2 linked regions of the Tamandua tetradactyla genome follow. Each later gene encodes a partner of the first gene's protein in a complex. Links are inferred from orthologs where the notes say so. Each region holds a gene or a part of one and is shown in the gene's direction. Other genes may lie near its edges.

Region 1 (7,566 bases):
AGGTTCACAGTCATCCAGAAGATGATGTAGAAGAGCACGGAGTTCGTCCAGAAATGTGGTTGCCAGCTGGGTCACATGACATACGCTTGGGGGAGATAAATGTCAGTGGTCCAGTAGAGAGAGGGCCCAGCCCAGGAAACTGTGAATGGAGTGTAGGGTATAAAAAGCTGCTGGGTCAAAAAGGGTATGTGAGGACTTGATCCACAGCATGGGAGAGCTGGGGGTGAGGACTCAAGAGAGTCCTACTCCTTTAATATGTATATAACAAAGACATTTGAAATAAGTCCCAAACACCCAAGAGACTTGCTTAGAGCCACATGCTTTGGGAGACAGTAGTAGGTAGCAGTTATGAGCAGTGGCTTTGAAATCAATCAGACCTGAGTCCTGAGTTCAGAGCCTGCATCTGTCTTTTATCGGCTGTGTGACCTTGAGCAAATCACTTAACTTTTCTGAATTTCTGTGTTCTCATCATGAAAGACCTACCTCATAAGGTTATGGTGAAGGTTAAATAAAATAATAGATATGAAGTGTTTAATACAATAAGAGCTCATTAAATGTTAGCTATTAATAGCAACAAGGTAGAATTGGAAACCCACGTTTCCTGAATCCCTCATCCAGAGTGTTTCACATCTCACCCATGGGAGACAAATTCTACTTAACAGATTTATCTATGGTTGAGCCTGGCAGCAGACATACTCTGCTAAGAAGATAAAGCACTGTTTCATAATCAGAAAGTTATGTATTCTACGCAGTTAGGAGTGTTTGCTGGACAGTTAGGGGACAGTTCTGGCTGCCCAGGATTGACGATGGAGCCCAGTGGATGTATATGGTCTTCACACGCAAAATGAGATGTGCTGTCAATAGGGACAGCTGATGTGCAAGCAGAACCAGAATGCCACGGGATGGAGGAGCAGAAGGTCCTACCTCTCCGTTGTAACTCAGAACTCAGACTAGTTCTTTCCTAACAGTTTTGACTGTTTCAACGTCCTAACACAGAAGGTCTGTGTATTAGATAGCCCTCTCAGCTTCCACGCAGGTAAATGAGTGCAGACAGTGCCCGGGCTTTCTGGGCTACAACTGCAATCAGTGATTGATGTACTTGCACTTAGTGGTACTGGTCACTCCCAAAGCTGAGGCCTGTGAGCCTGAAAGGAGCTCATATTTATTTAAAGCAAACTTGAGGACGGGATTTGGAATAATTCAACTCATAGCATCATGGAATCTCAAATCATTAAATCCTAAGGAGTCCTAGTGCAAAAAGGGGTTCTGGGAGGGAGGATTAAAGAATGGAGAAGTGTGGAAGAGGGGCTGCAGGAGGTCGGAGTCCCTAGGGAAGACTCAGGACAGCAGATGTGGTGAGGTGATAGGTCCTTCTGGGGTTTTTCTTTTAGTAGAAGATGCTCCAACCTTCCCTGCTATGCAGCCCAGGGGAACAGTAGGAGCTGACTTGTCCCAAGGTCATGCTCATCAGGAATAGGGCATGGAAAAATGCCACTGCAGCCTTGATGGCTCTGCAATTATTCGGATGCTTTGCTTATAAGACAATCACAGTTCCTAGCTCTGATTATCGGCATCATCAGCATCATCTATTAATGGGCTTTGCGCTCCTCTGGGTATTCGGCATTTACAAGACACTAAAGGTGCCAAATACAGACTCAGAGATGAAAGAGGGAAAAGAGCAGGAAGTGGACCAAATTGGGCAACACTCTGAGTGGCAAGATCTAAATCAGCCCGAATCCATTCATGTGAGCTAATCTTAAAGGGCCAGGGACTCCTATATTCCAGCAGGGCATTAATTATTCCGGCACCTTCTTTATCCCTCCTGTCTCCATTATTTTCAGCTGCTTACTTTTAACTAGGAGTATTTAAACTCCCATTAGTTTTCCTTTTCTCCCTTTTGATAAATAAACTTTCTCTTTATCACCTATTTTCCACTCACCATCTAGCTGTCTGCAGGAGGAGAACAAGCAGAAATCTAACAGAACAAAATAAGTAAGTAAAGGAGAACTTGTCTCCAAATTGGCCAGATCTTGCTGTGTCTGCACAGTGACACCTTGATAACCTGGAGCTTCTACTTGCCGGTAACTCAGGAACTCAGCACAAAGCAAGGAGGCACAGTTTACTGAAAATGCCCATTACCCCGGCATGAAACGTGCTCCCCCTGCTGCAGAGCCCAAACATCTGTTCTGCTGCTTTCGTGCATGTGCTTTCAAAGCTGATGGTGGGAGACAGCATGCCAGAGAGGTCTGAGTTTCCACCCGAGACATATTGCAGGTTACAAGCCAGACAGCTGCCGTTGTATTGAAAACCTGTTCATCAGAGTTTCCTAAAGGAGCAGATATAAAAGGTTCAAATGAAGCCTTCAGGGTTTCTCCATCTAACCCGGCTTTAAGCACTGTCTCTCGTTAATCTTTAAAGAACAACAAAGAGAATGTGTAACTGGCTAATTATCGTGTAGGGTGGCAGATGCTCAGTGTGGAAAAGTCCTCAGGGTCATATCATTTAAGTGGACACTGTCCAGAAGAATGTCATATTTTGAAGCAGATTCCCTGACCTGCAACATTATCTATTCCATTTTAATCTTGAATTATGCATCTCTCAGCATTTTTGCCATTACCCCTTACTGGGGGATTTGAACTTCAGAAGTCTGAAGCAATCAGGTGACAGAAGCCCAAATTTGTCCTCTCATAAGAAACTCTCATCCCTCCTCACTGGAGCCGGATGGAAGGATTGATGTGTTGCTTTTCCTCCAGCTGGGATGCCCAACTGGAATGCCTTTCCCTGCATCAACTTCCTTCAAAATCCTTTTCTCCAGTTAACTAATTAATCCTATCCACACCTTGATGGGCTCTCCCTCACTTTCAAACTTCTCAGCATTTAGGCAGCCTCAATATGCAGACTCTTGAATGGAAGTTCTCCAGGGCAGGGACTTAGTCTCTTCATCCATATCTAGTACCTACCACATTGCCTGGCACATACTGTGCCTGATAAAATGTTTACTGAATTCAGTAAAATTGCTTATATTTTCCTTGGATTTATTTGCCTTTTATTTCATACCAATTCTTCAGTCTGTGCAACTACAAATTCCTTAAGGTTGGGATTCTTGTCTTATTTTTCTTTTCCCTCCCTCTAGAACACTTCTACATTTTTATGTAACAGGTTCTCCACATATTGGATGGACACAATAACTTTTCTTTAAAGTCAGTTTATCTTTTTCCCAACCCAACACAAACCATAAACTGCTCTATTCAAGTGAATCTTTATATATTCTCTTTATAAAAGGAAACTAGGCTAGTGTGATTAGCTTTCCTTTTATAACCAATTTTATTTTTAGATATAAAGATAAGGATCTCAATGCTCTATTTTTAGGATTTTGTTTACTTCAGGAGTCAATCAAAAAAATTTGAATGTAGAAGTATTAACCCCAGTCAAATTCTAAACAAGTTGCTGAACAGGTGGTTTGGGAACCTTTAGAAGAGAATGTGGTGATTCCAAGAGTCCCCTAGAAGAAGTTCTGCAAAAACCCCTCCTTCAGTGGGGTCCAGAGATTAGTAGATTAGAGGAAAGTGGCAGCCACTGAACATCTTGATTTAAGGAACACATATGACAGTGCTTCCCTTGATATTCTGGTAAGTGGGTCTGCAGTAAATCAAGCACTTTCATCTGAGGAGACATGGTGAGTTTTCTCCACCTGCAAGGTGACTCTAACAAAAATGCCAAAGGCCTCTGCCATGGCCTTCGGGTCTTCAGTGTTCTGAATCCATGACAGGTGCTGGCAGAGAAAAAATCCATCATTTGTTCAACACTTGCTGCATTCCCGGCATGGTGCCAAAACCTATATGTATCTCATTCCACAGAAAGCCTGGTTTTCTGATGATTCAAAGCTTGGGGGGCAGCCTGACTACCACACATGACAAACCCTGAAGTTTGGAAATCAAGTTAGATAAAATTTACTACAGGAAGTGCCATGGTCTCACACTCAAGTTCAAACCAATCAGCTGCTTTGAACCAGAACATATGGGATCTGGGAAATCTGCTTTGGTAACAGTTTGTGGGAATAGGATTAGGGGCCACAGAGAGAGGGATGGGGCGGAGGGATTCTAAATGACCACAAACTGGCATAAATGATGCACTGAGAGGCTGCAGGCACAAAGTCCAAACCCCAGCGAGGGCTAGCCCTGGTGTTTCCGAGCACAGAGCATCCTACCGTCCTAGTATCTAGTAACCTAAAGGAACTTCAGTTCTCATCTACTTAAGAGTTTAACTGCCAAATTTTAAGAAAACATGAACAAACGTAAATCCAGAGACCGACCATATCAAGATGGGCACCTTAACCCAAAAACAACAGAAACCTACCATAACATATCTTTTCAAACCACCCTCATCCCCATTTTCACTCTTTCCAACAACCCTGAGAGGGAGCTCCCTAAATAGCGGCGCCGTGTGTAAAAAGATGAGGTGAGCTTAATTAGCCACTCAGCTAATGAAGAACTGGCTGTTGAACCAGGGTTTCTGGACTCTCAGCTGGTACCTTTCTCCTGCCCCACACTGCCGGGCCCTGCGCCGGCGTCGCGCAAAGCCCGCCGGGACAGTCGCGCACAGCCCGCCGGGACAAACGCTGAGACCGCAGGGCTGGAGGGAGGTTGCTCTGAGAGGACTACGGAAGCCTGGAGGGAGCCAAGCAGCTGGAAGTTCGCGTAGCCGCTGGAGTGACCTTCCCATCAGAGGAGTGACCTTCCCATCAGATCCCTGCCCATGCCGCACTCCTGGAAGCGCTGGGTAGGAGGCGTGGACCTGTCTGAGCCTGTTTGTTGTTGTTGTTTGTTTTTATTTAGAGAAGTTGTAGGGTTATAGAAAAGTGCAGGAAATACAGAGTTCCATATACTTCCCTCTCACGTGCAGGATTGACACCGTATCGATGGGGAGCTTTTGTTACAATTGCTGAAGGACTTTTATAGTTATACTATTAACTGAAGTCTGTAGTGTACATTCGGATTCACCGTGTTGTACAGTCCTATACTTTAAAAATTTTTTATTCTGTTAACATGTATAAATATATGTGTAACCTGAAATTTCCCATTTTAATCACTTTCACATATACAACTCAATGGGGTTCATTAAGTTCACAATATGTGCTACCATCACCACCTGTATTACCAAGACGGTTACACTACTCCAAAGAGAAACTGCACCAATTAAGCATTAACTCCCGACTCCCCACCCCTGCCCCAGCCCTTGGTAACCTGTATCATAGTTTCTGACTCTGTGACTTTGCATAGTCTAATTATTTCATGAAAATGAAAGCATACAATACTTATCATTTTGTGTCTGGCTTGTTTCACTGAAGATGATATTTTCGGGATTCATCCATGTTGTTGCATGTATCAGAACTTCATTCCTGTTTAATACTGAATAATACATTTCATTATATGTACATACCACATTGTGTTCATCCTTTCATCTGTTGATGGACGTTTAGGTTGCTTCCATCTTTTGGCAATTATGAATAATGCTGTCACAATCAGTGTTCAAGTCCCTGCTTTCAATTCTTTGGGGTGTAACCTAGGAGTGGAATTGCCACTATAATAATTCTATACTTACCTTTCTGAGGAACCCCAAAACCGTTTTCCACAGCTATGACGCCATTTTACATTCTCACCAACAGTGAACAAGGGCATCTGTTTCTCCACATCCTCTCCAACACTTTTTTCCTGTTTTTCTTTTAATAGTAACTATCCCAGTAGGTGTGAAACGGTATGCCACTGTGGTTTTAATTGTGTTTCCCTAGTAGCTAATGATGTTGGGCTTCTTTTCATGTGCTTATTGACCATTTGTATATCTTCCTTGAGGAAATGTCAATTCAGATATTTTGCCCATTTTTAAATTGGGTTGTTTGTCTTTTGTTGTTGAGTTGTAGTATTTCTTTATATGTTCTGGATATTAAACTCTTATCGGCACCTCTTGGTTTTACGCAGAGCTTGGGAGGGAGTTATCTGGGGAATTTCTCTCCCTGTCTTTCATTCATGCCCTTCTGCCAACCAGCCTTCCTTCCTTCATTGCTCTCCTGTGAAGTGAGTGATGTAAAACAACCACGCCTCCCCCCACGGTGTCCTGCAAACCTGTCCCTCAGTGCTGCCGCTACTCCCAGAAACAAAACTCTGATTATCATTCATTATTTCTACTTCTTAGTATTAAAACCCTTTTAATATGGCATTGGAGACCATTGGGGAGTTTTAAATTTCATGTCAGACCAGGATTTATGGGCCAGTTCTGAAATCTTACCTCTGGGCTCAATAATCGCAATTCCCTTTTAATTGCTCTCTTAGACACCTCTCTTAAAAGGCTTCAGTTATTTCCGCAGAGCAGCCCATGGGACCTGGCCAATCTGAATACTCAACTTGGGTCACCTCCGTTGGAGGACTGCATGCAAGGCTCAGGCTGTGTAGCCTGGTTTGAAGATGCAGTGTTTGACAGGCAGTCCCATCAAGGAGCTTCAGGATTCTTGCAAAAGAGTTTTGAGTTTAGGGATCATGCCCACATCCACTCCCACTCCATAGCAAGAAATGAATGTGTTAGGTGTGCATGTTCTTCCATGCTCATTTTGTAAACTGTACAATTCTGTGGACATCCAAATCCACACTCCTTCTATGGGAAACATCTTAAAGGAATATGATGGAGGAAGTCAGGATGGAAGTGTTGGAGAGAGAAAAGGTCCCTCAACTGGACTCTCCAGAGTCCAGTTTTGGGAAAGTAAAAACAGATGCTGAGAGGGTTGGTCAATATTAGAAAGGAGAGAAAAGAGGAAACAGGAGCAGCAACAGCCTGCAAAGGGCAGCCATGTCACAGGAAAAAGAGAAGACCAGGGGTGAAAATAAATTATCTTGCTACCCAAAATCAGGGTGCAGCGAAGGGGCTAAGATGGGGTTATCTGGGGTGCTACTAGTCACAGGAGCCACCCCCGAGGTGTCATTTAGGGCTTTACATCTGGTGGCAGCAATTTGTCTGGAAGAAATGCATAGCTTTGTATGCAGAGTCACTAACTGCTGAAGGAAGGTTTACTTGCAGACTGAAAACAGCTGCTTCTGTTGGACAACAGTGGGCTGGGTGGGGGACAGAGTGCAGCCTAGGGAAAGGTGAATCCGCCAAAGGAGGTAGGAACAAAAGGAGAAAAACCGAAACTGGTGCTCATACATTGATGATCCAAGTCCTTTCCTTGGGTAGAGGCAGTTACAAGGCGCTGGAGACTCCCCAACCTTAGCGAGGGGTCTTTCCTGGGCCCATTGGCAGCAAACCTTTAGACTCTAAATGAAGAGTTGCCTGCCTTGGCAAGCCTAGTCTGCTGTAAGGTGAATAAAGGGCTGGACCAAAGCAACAGGAGCCTTAACCACTCAGAGTGTGCATCTTCTAATATAGCAATAGAATATGCCAGTGGGTCTTCAAATGGTTTGCATGAACCTAGGAGTTTGCAAAGTGAAACATTTCATACTATTTACATTAGTAATCTACTTATATTTGCCATTTATTAAAAAATAAGATGTTAAATTTTACTAATATTTAATATCACAT
Region 2 (7,876 bases), about 30 Mb from region 1:
ACTTTGCAACATGTACCGCAAAATAGTTCTGTATGAGATGTGTGTCAAGTGGGAAGGGGGTGCAGGACCTTAGAATAGTTTGTTTCCTCTTATTTTAGGGAACAATTAGGCAGAGTGCTATTTAGACTGCTATATATCTTGCAAACATTATTAATTCTAAAGAGTTACATTTATACTAGGGAAATGGGACCTCTTAGAGAATTTGTCTTCCTAGCTCCTTTACACATTTTCTAGTACATTTCTAGGATATTAATGATGTATTGATACTAAAAAATAACAGAATTTGTGAAATTTTAATATTAAGCAATATTTCCTTAGTACATATAATGTTATCCTTTACGAAAGGTAATTATTTTTCTCTCTACTGAGGGATTGTTAAATTCTCTAACTTAATGGTTGACAAATATGTAACAATTCATTTATCTCAATTAATATTCATCTCAAGCAAAATATATACTTTTGTGGGAAAAAAGAAAAATTATGGTAGTTGAAACTTTGGGGTTTAACTCAAAAAAATATCTTGCCCATCTCATGACACAGATGTATAATAAAAGTAAATTAACCAAAACAATTTACCCCCCTCTGGTTAGTTTACTTCCTATGGTCCAATACAGTTTTCTCAAAATGAAAACAAAACTAATCAAATCCAGCAAAAGAAATTATTAGTTATTTTTCCAGTGATTCTGGAATGCAGTTTGATGCTTAATTTTCTCTCTTATCTTTTTCGGCTTTTAGTAGAAAGTTCTTCACTTACTAACGGAGGGAATTAAATTATTTAATATGGATATATCACCTCTTCTTGCCTGAAAACAGGTGGTGAAACTTACAGTGATGATTTCAAGTGAATTTCCTTCAACTTTTTGTAGAAAACATTTCATTTTGTTTTCAGACATTTTTTGGTAACAGTTATAGAACTTTATAGTTTGAAACTTCAGAGACCATCCAACCCCCTCATTTTATAGGAAAAGATACTGATAAAGTAGTTTGTCAAATACAAGTTCAAATTTTCATGTAAGCTTGTCTATGTTTTACTTTGCCTTAACCAAGATAACCAATCAATTTAGTCAATCAGATTGTGTCAACAATGGGCATAATATGCCTATTACTGGTGCTTGAAGAACTCCAAGACATTTTTTTCTGACAATACTATAAATTGAAAACTTCAATACAGTTTAATAAATCAGCGCAGTCTTATCAGTTGCATAAATTGTTAAAGTCTGCAAAATTGACATATAAAATGAGAGGCATCTGGAGTCATTTCAGCACAGAGCTTTGCAAAAATGAATGGATTAATACATGAATTTCTGATTCCTAATTGCCAGACCTCATGAATCCAAATACCAATCAAGCAGAAGCTATGTTGTCATTGTTTATGTATGAAGTTACCTAATGAGTTGGCCTGAAGTATCAGCACACACAGTTGGATGGTAGAAAGGAATCAGAAGATTTATTCACAAAGAATCCCCTTGTCAGTCCCATTAAAAACTGCAAACAAATAAAGGACAATATTAATGACCTGGAAAATTTTCTTTGGTTGGTAGAATGGGGGGAGGTCTTATTGGTACTTTTTAGAAGAAACCTAGCTTTAGTTTAGGAAAATACTATTAAAAAGAAAATATTCTATATAAATTTGAATAATACATGGGCTAATTTCTTGTTGGCATTCTTCACTATGGCAAGGTATTTTTTTTCCAAATCCAGTTCTACAACTAAATATTTTTCACAACAATAGAAGCTTTCCATGTTTCTATAATGCTGGAACTTGCACCACTATAGGAGTCAGGGTAAATTCAGGATGCTGAATGAGACAAGGAAATGAATGTCAGCAAGAGGAAAGCTTCTGTCACTAGGCGTCGCTCTTGCAAGAAGAGCTTACATTTATTTTGATAGAAAGGGGAAAAGGCAGAAAGGAAAATATCTCATTTTATCTGCTTAAGATCAGTCAGGTATGAATTCTCATTGTTTTCTGAATATATTTTAACAGAAACTTTCATATTTTAGTCATACTGGTTGCAAAAAAGAGAAAAAAAAATGTTCAGCCTGATCAAATCATTTGCTTTTAAAGAAAGCAAAATATAAACATATACTCAAAAAGGAGAAAAAGGGCTAGATTTTAATATCTTCCATCTCTACTCTATTTACACCACCCCCCCTCTGCCAAACACATCTTCTTCCAGAGAAAACAGACCATGTGAAGGAAGGGGGATAGAGAGAATAGGTAGAGAGAGAGAGAATACTGCCAAAAAGTTATCGGGAAATCCAGCAACTAAGAGCCTTTTCTATGTCAGTGAAATATTTAGTAGTCTTACACACACATGCACTCTGGCAGCATCTTTGTGTCACTGCCATAGTGTAACCGCCCCTGTTAATGGCGGAGGCTTTTAATTCTTACCCACACTCTCCCTTTCTGGTATCGTACTTAGAACACCTTTCCCAATTAGATCTTCTGCCTTGGAGTACTTCCAGCTCTTGCCCAGAAAGGGCCAATAAAATGGGAAAGTGCTCAATTGATTGATAATACATTTTACAAGAAAAAAAAAATTAAGGAGGTAAATTGTGGAACTACTTCCTTACAGAATTAGCCCTGAAGGCAACTGCTCCAGGCAGGGGAGGTCAAAGATTTCTGTCCTGCAGGTTTTTCAGGGGAAGGTGAAAAGAAATATCAAGTCTACTAGAGGATTCAAACCAAGATTTAACAGGTAGAGTCTGGGTAAGCTGGGGGGCAGTACAGTCTCTGAAGGAACTGGATGTTAGTGTTAACCTACCAACTAGTCCTTTGAGTTGCTTGTACACAGTCATAGACAGAGCCGGTGGGTTCTAGTAAGAGGATGCAGAAGTGGGGAGGCAGTGGGGAATACCTGCACACACCTTTTTTCCTGAAGTGTGTATTTTGTCCTCGTTGTCTCTTTTTTTTCCCCTTCGACAAGCCATTTGCAAGCCCACTGACCATCATCACTGTCCCCCTGCATTCGGTGAAGAGCCGCCTTGGGCAGGGGGCGCTCGCCTGGGCACCAGGACTTGGGACGGTGCAATGTCCTTTAGAGTAGTTCCCCAGCGATGCCATCTGATCCCTCCAAAATAGATAGACTTTAATTGACTTATTAAATGTCGAGGCAATCAAGCAGCCGCTCCTTTTTTAATAGCCCTAAGATCTACATTTAGACAAAAACAGATCCAAGTTCCTGGTAAAGGCGTTTCTTCTCATCCTGTCACAAGTGACAGGAACGAAGGGAAATAGACTGAGAGAGAGAAACGGGGGGGGGGGGGAGGGAGAGATTGTGGCGGGGCGCGGGGAGGGGGGGTTGGTTGTCTGACGAAGATCCACACAAAAGAGTATGAATATTTCAGCGGCTTTTTAACGAGCTTCTAATTAAAGACGCTGGCTTTTGAACCCCCGGGGGACCCACGCCTTACGTCCGCAGGCGCGAGAATAAGAAGCGGCCGAACTGACCCTGCCAGGAGGATCCGAGAAGGGAATTTGGGCGACAGACAGCACTCACTCTGAAGGCGGCCGCGCGGACTTGCCGAGCCTTTCCACCCACTTGGAGTTGACCGTGACACCGGGCGCCGCGGCTCCCAAGCATCCTATGAGGCATATAAGCCGAAGCGCCGCCGGACATGGAGTAGTGGGGCGCGCTACGGCTCCGGGCCGGCGTGTGCAGTGCCCAGCCGTCTAAGCAGACGTCCACGGCTCCCGGGCCGCCGAGGCAGGTAACTCCCGGGCTCCGGCTCGCCGTCCCCCACCCTATGCCGGTCTCTTGGCACAGCTCCGACGTGCAAATGACCAGCAGGCTGGAAGTGGCCCTGGCAGTTAGTTGTTCGCAAAGCGTCTCGGTGGCGCCCCTAAACCTTGGCTCTCGGCTTCCCGCCTCGCCTGCAGGCTGCGGAGGAGCGAGGGGGTTTCGAGAAGCCTGGCAGTCACGGGCGCGGCCGGGCGAGGGGGCGCCACGCGGGGCACCCATCTGGTTGGGGGAGCGGGTGACCACCCTCCCCGTGCCCGAGGCTCCCGAGCGCCTCGCCGCACTCGGGTTCCCGGGTGCCCCGCAGTAGCAGCTTCAACTCCGGGAAGGGCGCTCCAGGCGCGCGGTTCCTCCGCCTTTGAGACTGAGTCTGGGCCGCGGAAAGGGGTTCTGGCAGGGCGCGTCCGCCACTTCGGGTCCCCGGGAGGGCGACGTAGCCGGACAAAAAGGCACTAGCTTAGAAACTTGGTTTGAGACTCCCAAACTGGGCACATGAACACGTACTTATCCAAACTGAATGGGTGCTTTTTTTTGAGGGAGTTGGGGGCACATAAGTGCGGGCGGGTGGTGGTGGTGCGAAACCTTTTCAAAACTGTCGCCCCGCAGGCAGATATGCTAGCCTGAGCCTCATGTATTTTTTTAAAGTTTAAAAAAAAACACGTTGATATTATATATTGGAATATAGAGTCAGATAAGTTAAAAGGGCCAGCCGGATGAGTGAGACTCAGGGAGAGAGCCAACCGGAGGGAAAAGTAGATTTGTAGCCAGGGCATTTGGGGGCGGGGGCCGGAATTTAAAACCGTAAGATGAATGACTGTGCTTCTCATTGTGGAGTGGGATCGTGGGGTGGGGGTCCTAGTGGAGACCTCAATTGACCGACCCTCGGCGATTGTACTTCGCCGACCCTCTCGCACCCCTCCCGACTGAGGAAGGTTGGCGGAGTGGTAGCGCCGCCCGGCCGGGAGGCGACCGGTCAGCGTTAGTCCCCGGAACTTTTAAGGATGCCTTCTTCGCGGGCGCTGGAGGCTCCGAGGCTCGCCTCTCGTGCGGCTCCTTCCGTAGGGCAGTGGGGTGGGGTTGAGGAGAGCGGTGCTCGGGGCGGGCGGCGCGGTGAGCGCCCGGGAGACTGCGTACGCGTGTGCCTGCCAGCACCAGGTGGCCGAATCTGACCACAGTGTAGACGAGGAGTTGGCCACTTCTTCCTCTGGGATCTCAGAGCTTTTTCCCCTTCCTCCGCCAACCCTGACTTTCTCTGTCTCTCCTCCCTTCCCCTCCCCCCATCGCCACCCCCTTCTTTCAGTGAACCTAGAGCCCAGAGAGGGTGTTGGATTATTTTCCAGCTTCATTCCTAACTTAACGCACCATCCTAAGGCTTCCCTGTGCAAATTGAAATGAGCGGACCGAGGCGTCCTGTCCTCCTGGGGCTGGTGTTCTTGCTGATGACAGTGGGACCTTGCCGAGGGAGAACTGAATCTCGAGAAATCACAGACAGACAGACTCTTTTAAACCTCATCATGGAAATCATTCAGGAACTTAAAAAATATCACTTGGGAGAATACAAGAGATTGCAGATTTTCAGCAAACATGACTATACGCTGGGCCGTAGGGAGGTCTCTGACTACGGAGTTTATCCCGAGGAGCAAAGAGTTGGTAAGTCAGCCTCTTCATATATTTATCTCAACAAGTCTCTATAATGTGTGCATGTCTGTGTAATCACGAACTCCTTTTAACGACTTCAATCTTTAGTGTATCTGCGTATCTTTCATATCTAAGACACTAGGAGAAATTGTGTTTGGCTGGAAGTAGAACTGTCTATAAGAAAACACACTTTAAAAAGATCCTGATTTTTTTTTTAAACTAGGAAACATTTTAAAAATGAAAAATAGAAAAAAAGTAGGGGGCGATGTGTAGATAGCTCACATAATCGTAACTAGTCCACATCTAAGCCATATGAATTGCTACCTATGCCATAACTGTGGTGTTATTTTAGAAATGGAAATATTTTCAACGAAGCAGTTGCAACTGAAAAAGAAATGTTTCAGAGCTTTCCCTCTATGGTAGAGCCTTTCTCAGAGTGACTGCCCCATGGGAAATTTCTGAGGAAAGCATGTAAGCTTTTAATGCTTTTCATGACACAATTAGGCCAAATATGATAAGGTCAATTTTATATAGACTGACTTCATTTAAGAGTAAATGAAGACTGACATTAGGGAGATGTCTAAACCTTCGAAGTGAGCAAGGTTCGGATGGAAATGTTCTCTCTTCAAATGAGATGTGGGAAGGATCTAAGAAGTACTTGTGGTAAAATAAATAAAGTGTGACATCACATACAATCATCACTTAAGTTACCAGTTCAGAACAGATAAGTGAAAATGATTAAAGATGACTGTGAATAAACAAAGGCTGCAAACAGAGGGAATGCCAATGAAACCATTGCTATTTACCAAGTGCAAAACAAAAGATATGCTTGGAACAGTCTTTTCCTAGGAATTTTATTTTTATCTTACAAACCAGATTAATGTATACCTCCATTCATTTACACCAGTTCTCATAACAGGTGGTTTTGAAAGCATTCAATACTTCTTCTAAATATGCAGCTGGACAAAGTAAAATTATTTAACAATTTCTTTGGTTGTGTGAAGGATCAGGTTTGCTTCCTAAAACTTTGAGAGGGTGTAGGATTTGATTCACAATCTCTTCAAAACAAAAGCATCTAGAAATGATGTATTCACTGGAAGCTTGTTGTAAAAAAATAATCTTTTTCACCTTATAACTTCACAATCAGTATCCCTATCTTGGTGTTAAGAGACTGGAGAGAAAATATAAGAGCTTTGTGAGCTGCTAAAACTATATGTCTGGGTACAAGTTTTCACATTATAGGTATATAACAACCAAGGAAGGCTCCAGTATGTATTATTTAGTTCAAAGTAATATGGCCAGTGAAGTTTCCAATAACTTTCTTCAACATTCACCTAAGATCATGTGAGGAAAAAAATGCTTCCTTCAGGCAACATGATAATTCGCTTCTTTTCTCTCAACAGAAATTGTTCCTCGAGACCTAAGAATGAAGGACAAGTTCTTAAAACACCTTACAGGTAAGTTTTCTTTACATTCCTTCACGTCTCCTTCAGTTCCTTTGCATCTTGCTGAATCCTCATTATCTGTTTTCCACTTCCATGTTCCAGGTCCTCTTTATTTTAGTCCAAAGTGCAGCAAACACTTTCACAGACTTTATCACAACACCAGGGACTGCACCATTCCTGCATGTAAGTGACAGCATCTGTGTATTGCTTTAATAAATGCTAGGACACTGTAAAGACTGATTGTCTGAAACATGCTTCATGTCCTTTCATTTAATTAAATAGGCCCCTGCCTTCTAAAATGCACATTTGCTAATATTTATTCCTTCTTAACTATAGAGTTAGGAAGGGACAAGGGTGTCCAGACCACTGAAGAAGGTAACTAAATTCTCAGCAGCCAATGACAAAACAGAAAATTATATTCATGGGAATTAGCCTTTGGAATGGGCTGAAACCTGTGATTCACATACTTCTTTGGTTTATGACTTCTGGCATAATGCCTGTATTTGTAACTACTGAACTATGACAGTCAAACAAAAGTTAAGAATGAATTGCTAAAATGACTACTGCTGAGTCACTATACTCTAGGGTGTAAAGTGGATTGGCCTGAACCATTCTGGTTAAACTTTCTTGCCATCCCCACTACGTTGACCAGGGACTTCTTCCAACAGTAATTATAAACTCATCATCCAGGAATTTTATTGTTATTTGAAAATTCTTTTTTTCTGGTTGCCTTCATCACTAGTTCAGAAATGCACAGCTATCCTCATCAGTCTAGCTCATCAGTCTAGCTGTAATTTTCTCTCCTTCTTGTAGGTTTTTTATGACAATGTCCATATTATTGTTTTCTTTTTTCTGGGCATTAATCCATAGCAAAATGTATTTTCCCCAAAAGGGTTCCCATCCTCTTTACACAATGCATAACAAGTACAAGTGATTTATTAGTTAGAGAGACATCTGCTAGAGCTCTAAACTAAACATTTTGTAGGGACTAAAACTTTAATGTCATTTTAGAGCTTGCAAGAGAAAAGTCATGCAGATACATCAGATATCATA

Evidence for each region. The genes of interacting proteins can lie anywhere in the genome.
Region 2: the proteins of ALK (region 1) and ALKAL2 are in contact, whole or in part, in a cryo-EM structure (PDB 9G5I), measured with the Homo sapiens proteins. The link is inferred for Tamandua tetradactyla from reciprocal best matches to the Homo sapiens genes ALK and ALKAL2. Residues at the interface, in NP_004295.2 of Homo sapiens: Leu684, Tyr739, His755, Ser758, Leu760, Phe856, His857, Glu859, Leu965, Tyr966, Thr967, Pro968, Leu970, Lys971, Val972, Met973, Glu974, Glu978, Asn980, Val992, Glu994, Cys995, His996, Met997, Phe1007, Asp1009; in NP_001002919.2 of Homo sapiens: Ser112, Lys113, His114, His116, Arg117, Leu118, His120, Asn121, Thr122, Arg123, Asp124, Arg133, Arg136, Leu137, Arg140, Leu141.

Annotation. Positions count from the first base shown.
Region 1 is NC_135329.1:13,545,478-13,553,043, reverse strand, and holds the start of ALK (ALK tyrosine kinase receptor), read left to right. Parts: upstream 1-4,483; coding exon 4,484-4,779; intron 4,780-7,566. UniProt on the Homo sapiens protein: Neuronal receptor tyrosine kinase that is essentially and transiently expressed in specific regions of the central and peripheral nervous systems and plays an important role in the genesis and differentiation of the nervous system.
Region 2 is NC_135329.1:43,331,409-43,339,284, reverse strand, and holds the start of ALKAL2 (ALK and LTK ligand 2), read left to right. Parts: upstream 1-4,862; 5' UTR 4,863-5,131; coding exon 5,132-5,390; intron 5,391-6,781; coding exon 6,782-6,835; intron 6,836-6,925; coding exon 6,926-7,006; intron 7,007-7,876. UniProt on the Homo sapiens protein: Cytokine that acts as a physiological ligand for receptor tyrosine kinases LTK and ALK, leading to their activation. Cytokine-binding is sufficient to activate LTK. In contrast, ALKAL2-driven activation of ALK is coupled with heparin-binding to ALK.